2 linked regions of the Bombyx mori genome follow. The protein of the gene in region 1 purifies or fractionates together with the protein of each later gene. This does not show direct contact. Links are inferred from orthologs where the notes say so. Each region holds a gene or a part of one and is shown on either strand. Other genes may lie near its edges.

Region 1 (4,584 bases):
AATTGAACAAAGCACACGATGTTTAAATAAATGTCTCGTGGTATGTGTCGGCAGGCTGGACGTGCAGCGCGCGGCGTGCGCCCGGGACGCGCTCGCCAAGAAGCTGTACGGGGAGCTGTTCGCGTGGCTCGTCACCGCAGTCAACCGCGCGCTCGACACCGGACACGCCAAGAAACACTTCATCGGTGAGTCCACCCATCACTGGTCCACCCTCCACTGGTCCAACCACCAAAGGTCCTCCCAGCACTGGTCCTCCCAGCACTGGTCCACCCACCACTAGTCCACCCACCACTAGTCCACTCACCACTAATCCAGACACCAATAGTATAGGTACCACTAGTCTAGCCATCCCTAGCTTGGAGAGCGATCGCAATCGTGACCAACTGAGAAGATCCGGTAGTAGATTCAGCGAAGCACCGCTCTTGCTAGGGCTGGTACTAGCAAATTCTCTCAGGTTGATCCAGTTGAGATCGTCTACAAGCCAGAGCGTAGCTGGAATGTCCGCTTAGGCTACCAGCGAATAGATAGGGAAAAAACGCAGGATCTTTTTTTTTTTTTTTTTTATTGCCTTTGTAGGCAGACGGGCATACGGCCCACCTGATGGTGAGTGGTTACCGTCGCCCATGGACTTCAGCAATGCCAGGGGCAGAGCCAAGCCGCTGCCTACCGCTTAATACTCTCCACAAGCCTCGTTTGAAGAAGGACATGTCATAGCGCTCGGGAAACACCTGATCTGACAACAGTTCAGTCTTTTTTTTTTTTTTTTTTTATTGCTTAGATGTGTGGACGAGCTCAAAGTGTCGAGTCAAGTCTGCACGTGGCACCTATTCTGATACTCTTCCGCCCCGTTTAGGCGGTTTGATCACTCACTCTCTAAGCTAGAATTCATTGAATCTACTACCGGATCGCAATCGTGACCAACTGAGAAGATCCAGCGAGAAACTCAGTGGGCTGTGTCCAAGGGAATCCCACATCACGTCAGTCCCGTGCTCTGAACCGTATTCGGTATTTTTTTTCTCCGTCTCCAGGCGTCCTCGACATCTACGGCTTCGAGACCTTCGAAATCAACTCGTTCGAACAGTTCTGCATCAACTACGCGAACGAGAAGCTCCAGCAGCAGTTCAACTCGCACGTGTTCAAACTCGAGCAGGACGAATATATAAAGGTAAGTTGTCGTGGATCCAAGTTCTACAGGACTAGGTCGGGTCGGTGCTGGTCGCAGCGCGTGTCTGCCCATCTAAAGAAGTTAAAAGTCTCGAATCTTTTAGGAAGAGATCTCGTGGGAGATGATTGACTTCTACGACAACCAGCCGTGCATAGACCTGATCGAGGACCGTCTGGGTGTCCTGGCGCTGCTCGACGAGGAGTGCCGCGTGCCGCAGGGCTCCGACACCGGCTTCGTGGCCAAGCTGCACCAGAAGTGCGCCGCCTACCCGCACTTCATGAAGCCGAGGTTCGGGAACCAGGGTGGGTCCGAGTTTGTAGCTGGCATGTTTTTTTATTTTATTTTTATGGCTTAGATGGGTGGACGAGCTCACAGCCCACCTGGTGTTAAGTGGTTACTGGAGCCCATAGACATCTACAACGTAAATGCGCCACCCACCTTGAGATATAAGTTCTAAGATCTCAAGTATAGTTACAACGGCAGCCCCTGCCCTTCAAACCGAAACGCATTACTGCTTCACGACAGAAATAGGTAGGGCGGTGGTGGTACCTACCCGCGCGGACTCACAAAAGGTCCTCTACCACCAGTAATTATGCAAATTATAAATTTGCGGGTTTGATTTTTATTACACACGATGTTATTCCTTCACCGTGGAAGTCAATCGTGAGCATTTGTTAAGTACGTATGTATATATTTTATTAGAAAAATTTGTGCCCGCCTGTGGGATTCGAACACCGGTGCATCGCTAGATACGAATGCACCGGACGTCTTATCCTTTGGGCCACGACGACTTCTATACGACGACGACGAGGTTGATGCTTTGTATTGTTAGAAATTAATCATTTTAGTATACAATCCGTTCCAGAAGTCAAACATCTGAAATGCGTACTACAATGTAAACACGCAATGTAAGGCGTACAAATAATTAACGATGCTCAAAGTCTAAGAGCGATGCGATTGCTCTTTCTAAGCTGTAGACTTGTATTGATTGGGTCCGCGATTTGTAGTGTCAAATGTATAGCAGAGTCCATAGACATCATGATATTAGGGCATTCTCTTTTTGATAGACAACCTTATTTATTTTGAACTAGCGACCTGCCCTCGCTTCGCTTTGGAAACATTAAATTTTATTATTGATAGCCGAGTCCCGCGATGTTATGTCCCGTTGTACCGCGGGTGACGCCGCGGGGCGAAGCTAGTCTAAAAAAAGTAAAGCCTAAGTTACTCCTTATATCATCGGCTACCTGTCAGTGAAAGTCCCGTCAAAATCGGTCCAGCCGTTCCAGAGATTACCTGATTAAAAATTAAAAAAAATGCTATCTTGGTGTATGTACCGTATATATATTCATATCAATATCAATATTACTAACAGACAATCCAATTTTATTTATATGTATAGATTAGTCGGTAGGCGCTCCTATAGACTAAAAACCCTCAATCATGAGAAATGAACAGGATTCTTCCGACAGCCTTCATAATAAAGCATTTCGCTGACAACGTGGAGTACCAGTCCGGCGGTTTCCTTGAGAAGAATCGTGACACAGTGTCGGAGGAACAGCTGGAGTGCATCAGGACAGCCACCAGCTGCCGCCTCATACACGTCATGCTGGAGTCGGAGCGCGCGGTAGACCGTCAGACCGCGACCCTGCCGCCGCCCTCCCGGAGGAGGACCACGCCCTCCGTGCCGATAACGAGTCTAACTGTACGTGCTATTTTATTGATACGCTTTTATTAGCTTCAGACGTATGTATGTTAGTGTGTAGCGCAATCTTTGAACATGATTTTGAGCCCCTTCAAAACGTCGGATTAACTCGAAAATCCAACGTATAGAAAATCCAACTCAAAAATAGAAAATAAATTTGAATTAAAAATAGTGTAAGGAAAAATGATTTTATTGTAAAAAAAAGCGTGGAGTGCATGGTATCATCAGTAGTTATAAATATTTTATGAACAAATATGAGTAGAAGGGTTATTTTGATAATATCCTGAAAAGCACCCAGTTTTTTTAAACTATTATTTATTTTTATTGCTTAAATAGGTATACGGGGTCATGGTCCCGCCGTGGCTAAATGGTTACTGGAGTCCATGGACATCAACAATACAATGTCCATGGACATCACCTTGAGAAATAAGTCCAAGTTTGATAGTACATAGATGCCCCGCCCCACCCATGTAACCGGATTACATGACCTCGCGGCAGTTTTTTTTTTTATTCGTTAAAAAAAAGCGTGGTGGTACCTAACCTGGTGGTTTGTGGATTTTTGTAATGTAATAGATTTTTTTACACAGATTTTTTGCATAAGACCCCTTCAGCTCTACAACTCTCAACACTAGGAGCAGGCTTAGGGACCCCGATAACCGTACTCGTCGATCTCTACAAAGAGTTCGATGTGCAACTTAACCCATGCATCAGTCCGCTGAGTTTCTCGCCGGATCTTCTCAGTGGGTCGCGTTTCCGATCTGGTAGTAGATTCATTCGCGGAGCAATTGCTCTTGAGTTGTTAGATCTCCTTCGGAGGCGCTCGAGCAGCTGTTAGCAAATCCCACCCCTTCTGGCTAAGTCCCTTGCTCGCCCACCTGTCCTGGTGAAACTGGAAAGGCGGTCTTAATTAGTGGTTTCTGAAAATTTACAAAATCCTTCATTAAAAATAAAACATAGGATAGGTAATATGTTATTGCCGTCTACAGGAGCAATGAGAAACTAATCGAAGCGAAGCTATCTAGTGGCCGACGCCCGTAATCATTTTTCTTGAGTGCTTGATTTGCTTATTTATAACTAATTTATGTATATTGTCTATGCTCCGGGCCACCAGTAAACCTTCAGGACTTTTTGGCGGGAACGCGAGGTGTGAAGTTGTGTGATTTGTTTTATTTTGTCTATTTGGTGTTTGTTCAGATTTAAATGTGTAATAACGGTGGTTTATTAACTGTTTAGTATCTGTGAAAGTGCGCGAATGTGGGAAAATGAAACAAAGCCGCTTGGACGTAACTTCTCGGGAACCTCCAAAAAGTCCACTGAAAAAATCTCAGTAAATGACCACCATTTTACTGAGATTATATTTCATCCAATATCATCTCATCTCATTTTATTTTATTTTCTTTTCATTTCATGTCATGTTTCATATTAACCAACTTCATTTCATTTCATAATATTATTTTTCATATAAAAAAAATCATTAAAATTAAAGACTTGACTTAAAGGTCATAGTTACCAGGTCATAAGATCCCTTAAAAAAAACAATAATCCAACAATAATTAAAAAAAAAATGTCGGTCCAGCAACCAGGGCGGCGCGCGTCCGGCGCGCGGCAGACGGTGGGCGGGCAGTTCCGCGCGTCGCTGTCGGCGCTGATGCTGACGCTGTCCCGCACCACGCCCCACTACGTGCGCTGCATCAAGCCCAACGACTCCAAGACGCCC
Region 2 (5,237 bases), on another chromosome or scaffold:
CCAACGTCTCGTTTTTACCATCGCACCGCCCGCCACCGGAGTAGAGTTCATCCATACTACCCGGAGCCACTGCGGTCATCCACAGTGCGTTTCCAGAGATCTTTTTTGCCACGTACGATCCGGCTATGGAATGAGCTCCCCTCCACGGTGTTTCCGAGCGCTATGACATGTCCTTCTTCAAACGAGGCTTGTGGAGAGTATTAAGCAGTAGGCAGCGGCTTGGCTCTGCCCCTGGCATTGCTGAAGCCCATGGGCGACGGTAACCACTCACCATCAGGTGGGCCGTATACTCGTCTGCCTACAAAGGCAATAAAAATAAAATAAAAAACTTGTTCCTTACACCGGTCACTCACTTGCGCACGAATACGCAAACCCACAAGTGTAGGACGACATTTGCGAATGATTATGCAAAGTTTCCGCTGCATTCGTGGTTTTCCAAGCTGTGTCGGTTTTTTAACAGACATCAAAGCGCGCGAACCTCGAACCTTCGCGTAGTCTCCCACACATTCGCTTGCCCAGTTGCCCCGACAATTGCGAAGGTAACGGACGTATACTATACGCCATTTTCATAGTTCGTGACGTCTACTGTGTAACGTATCTTCATCAAAAGAAATCCCATAAAAACAGCATGGCTGTTAATGATGTCTGGGAAAGAATTAAAAACTCTTTTTCTCTTCAATGTTCTATTGACGAATTAAAAAGGAGGAGAAATTCGTGAGACTTCGTAAACAAGTGTAGGAGGAAGCGCAAACGGGTTCCCAAATTGAGTATGCGAACCCATTTGCACAGCCGCTAGGTTTTCGAATGAATGTTTGACGGCCCTTCACATGCGCGCAAACATTCGTACAATGTACGAATATTTGCGCGCATGTCAGTGGCCGGCATTAGACAAGAGTGCGCTCCTTAGTTCTATCCTTCATAACACCAAATTGACGAACTTAGGTTCTCTAGTGATGCGATTTCTAACGAAAACCATTTCCGTTATTAATAATATACATAGAGAGTGTAATTTATTGAAGTGAAACTTCCTTATCGGCGTTGGAAAAAAATTTACCGTCACGTTTTTCGGTTACGCGTCACATTTTTCCGTTACGCGCCATCTGTTTTGTATTCATGTCTATGATAATAAAATCCTTTTGTTTAAACTTTATCTAATTTAACTTTTTTGTATTCATGTCTATGATAATAAAATCCTTTTGTTTAAACTTTATCTAATTTAACTTTATTTAACCAATTTCTAGAAAGTTGCATGTAGATCATTTTTCGAAAAATAAGGCCATAAATAAGTTTCACTTCTTACGTGTGTACACTAGTACACGCACACATTTTTTTTATAACAGAGGAATAAAATTTTGATAGTCCTTATAAATATATATTAGGATACCTAGCGTTACTGTACCTCATTGCCTTTTGTTCATAAAATGTTGGTCTGAGATAATATTTTTAAAAGCTACTACTATGTACTAAGCTAAAAAAAGACTTTCTTGTCTAGTTTTGTGTCTAAGGACTATGTGTGACCATCGATTTTCACAGGCTAATTTGAAAAGATCTTCAAAAATCCAACAAAAATGACAAAGTGTGTTGGGATAAAAATAGGAACGTAGAAGACGAAAAGTATCGCTAGATTTGAATCGATTTTTTTTGTAAACGTTCTTTTCATATTAACATTTTTGGTGAATACTATATCAATATATCCGTGTAGCGTGAAAGAAAAAAATAGCATTCAAAAACAATACTAAAGAAATACCAATTACATAACAGACTTTTTTATTATTTCAAACTAATAATCATTTGAACTTAAGAATAACGATAATTTATTTATTGTTTCAAAATAAAATACCTTTAGTTTTCGTTTATTATTCTAACAAAATTGCATTTCACGATCAAGGACGATTGACTTCCGTCACGAAAACTGTAAAGTCTTCTATCCTAATATAATAACATAAAAAAACGCGAGAACGCCGTAGGAGTAATTTTAAAGTCTACGCCTCGAGAAATCTGATATGAAGGAATCTATAATAAAATATTTGTATTACCGTATATACCTTCTCGGTACTTGAATTTTAACCGATAAATCGAAACATGACATTTAGCTTAAAAATATCGATTTATCGTATTTTTTTTCGACGTTCCTAGTGTTGCGTTGCGCATGTGTTTATATCTGTGGTCCATCATCGTTGACATAGATAATGCACTTAAACTAGATAATCGTCGACATCATCAAAAAAAAGCCTATATTTTGTTGCTCTTCGATAAGTCGCAGCCTTTAAATATACCTATTTCATTACCTTCAATTTCATTTGTAGATTCATAATATGGTAAGTAGGTAAATGTCACGATTGTTCCATTCCTTTGAATGTTTTTCAATAACCACTGAAAATATGTTTTCAGGCTGGATATTCAGAGGATCAATTGGCAGGTGGGTCACTATTTGCACTCCGCAATTAGTTTAAATGAATAGTGAAAAACGAGAAACAGAGGTGGTGAACCGTGCTTTGTGTAAGTGTCAGTGTAGAACAGCAACCGCGGAGGGCGTGGTTCCGTGACTCACGTCAATCAACATCCTTACAAAAACCGGCGGTCGCTGCAAGCGCCCTACTTACCTTATAAGGTTTTGTGTTTAACAGCTAGCAGGTGTTCACTGAGGTAACCTTCGCTACGGCAGTATAGTTTCGCGCGTCGCAACATGTTCATGTACGAGGCACCTTCTAAACTTAAACTCACATCAGTTGATGGTATAAATATATATAAACATCTGTAACGCAGTCCCTTAGCCCTTGTTAGTATTACTTTCAAATAAAGTTTTTTTATTGTTTGGTTTTAGAATTTCAAGAAGCCTTCCAGCTCTTCGATTCTCGTGGAGATGGAAAGATACATGTCGCTCAGATCGGAGATGCGTTAAGAGCTTTAGGACAAAATCCTACAGAGTCAGATGTGAAAAAATGTACTCTTCATCTTAAACCTGATGAAAGGATATCTTTTGAGGTGTTTCTGCCAATTTACCAGGTACATATATGAAAAAAGCTAAGTATTTACCTAATATAAGGCTTTTAACTGTATTCAAAATGTTGTTAGTTTTGATACTTTAAAACATATATAGTATATTTCACAAAGAATCTGAAAAGTAATGGCAAATTCGTTTTTTCCAACCATAAGTTGTTTTTGTAACCATATTGTTTGTTCACCTAATATAATTCTAAAGTTTGTTCTCTTCTCTTTTTGTTGGTTCTGCATTGTAGGAAAATGAGTTTTAGGAGTCCTCTGGTAAAACATACTTCTATGACCCTTGAAAATATGTTATGTACTAATGATTCACATTTGACATTTCTCATTATTTCTATACTTTTCAGTCAAACAAATATCATAAAATTATTTAATTTTATAACAGCACCATTGACACAATGTGTAAAGATACAGAAAATTAATTATGAACTATACAAATCATAATAAATTTCATAGTACAGAAGTAGTATACAAATGTCACCTTACGAGTACTGTGTTATAGGGATTACTGTAAGTTCATAGACTAGTTGTTTGTAACATTTGTCTTCATAAGTTCATATTATACTAAAATGCTATATCACAGAAAACTTAAGAATAAATATTTTTCGTAAAGACAATTACAGTGCTATAATGCTATGCTAAATTAGATAATTATCTAACAACAACAATTGTTGGCCATCTGCACCTGCCCTAATGAACATGTTCCTCATTATACTCACATTGAATGATGCCAATGATTATGCCAGATCCCCACTCCTCAGAGCATTTTCAAGACAAAATAAATAACAATGTGCATTATTTATTTACTTACATAATTACTGCTTCACACTACCACCCAGACAATTTTTAAGCAATGTTGTTCTCTATTAAACTACTACTGAGACTCAGTTGCTTCTCTAAAGACAGTAAACCTTTAAAATGCTTAATTGGGAGTAGTGTTTTATAAAAAAATGTAATGATATAGATATTGTTAATGTATTTAAATATATGTATGTACATTCTGTACCATGTTGTGCTACAGTAAAATGTTTTTATTTTTTTATTTGCTTAGATGGGTGGACGAGCTCACAGCCCACCTGGTGTTAAGTTGTTACTGGAGTCCATAGACATCCACAACGTAAATGGGCCATCCACCTTGAGATATAAGTTCTAAGGTCTCAGTATAGTTACAACGGCTGCCCCACCCTTCAAACCGAAACGCATTACTCCATCACGGCAGAAATAGGCAGGGCGGTGGTACCCACCCGTGCGGACTCACAAGAGGTCCTACTACCAGTAATTACGCAAATTATAATTTTGCGGGTTTCATTTTTAATTACACGATGTTATTCCTTCACTGTGGAAGTCAATCGTGAACATTTGTTGAGTACATATTTCATTAGAAAAATTGGACCCGCCTGAGATTCGAACATCGGTGCATCGCTCAACACGAATGCATCGGACGTCCTATCCGTTAGGCCACGACGACTTCTAAAATAGTAATAAAATTGCTAGTAATAAAATTACTAAATTTCAATCCAGTCCAGTTTTTGAAATATTTTATAAGAAATTACACAATGTACCAAGATTATTTTGAACTGTAAATAATTTCCTTTCTGTTTCTGTGATTGTAGGCCATATCGAAAGCACGCAGTGGCGACACTGCTAATGACTTTATTGAGGGTCTGCGCCATTTTGACAAAGATGGCAATGGGTTCATCTCTTCTGCGGAACTGCGACACCTGCTCTCTACTCTCGGAGAGAAGCTCAGTGATGATGAGGTTATTTCTTACATACTTGAATCATTGAACAATCTACTGATTTGTATAAATATAATATGATCTAAAAGGCTTACATATTTATTTTTGCAGGTAGAGCAACTCCTGCAGGGACAAGAAGACTCTCAGGGAAATATCAACTATGAGAACTTTGTTCACCTCATCATGCAGGGCTGAGTTCTAGGTCATCATCTGCTGCAGCACTTTTATCTGTAAACTAACCAAGTCTGTAACCATACAGTTAGAGCCATAATGGGACACTGTTAACAAAAATTTATTAAAATATACTTAAACATTCTTATTTGGCTACATAAATGTAAACTTATAGTGAACAAATATAAGTAAGTGATAGTAGAATATTAAGAATATCTCAGAAAATTGTAGGCGCTGTGTGAACCACAACTAAACTTGTATGCATTTATCAATTAGGTGTAGGTTATGTGAATCATTCTTGAATGTTATTCCATTAGTTTAGTG

What was found. The genes of interacting proteins can lie anywhere in the genome.
Region 2: the proteins of unconventional myosin-Va (region 1) and nonmuscle myosin essential light chain purify together in Drosophila melanogaster (affinity purification with mass spectrometry; 3 studies listed by BioGRID, with this or other methods). This does not show direct contact. The link is inferred for Bombyx mori from reciprocal best matches to the Drosophila melanogaster genes didum and Mlc-c.

The regions. Positions count from the first base shown.
Region 1 is NC_085108.1:6,143,163-6,147,746, forward strand, and holds part of unconventional myosin-Va, read left to right. Parts: intron 1-54; coding exon 55-185; intron 186-1,028; coding exon 1,029-1,165; intron 1,166-1,268; coding exon 1,269-1,467; intron 1,468-2,634; coding exon 2,635-2,867; intron 2,868-4,443; coding exon 4,444-4,584.
Region 2 is NC_085118.1:17,553,293-17,558,529, forward strand, and holds the start of nonmuscle myosin essential light chain, read left to right. Parts: upstream 1-2,101; 5' UTR 2,102-2,315; coding exon 2,316-2,318; intron 2,319-2,390; exon of another isoform or gene 2,391-2,391; coding exon 2,392-2,419; exon of another isoform or gene 2,420-2,686; coding exon of another isoform or gene 2,687-2,735; intron 2,736-2,824; coding exon 2,825-3,006; intron 3,007-4,616; coding exon 4,617-4,763; intron 4,764-4,853; coding exon 4,854-4,937; 3' UTR 4,938-5,237.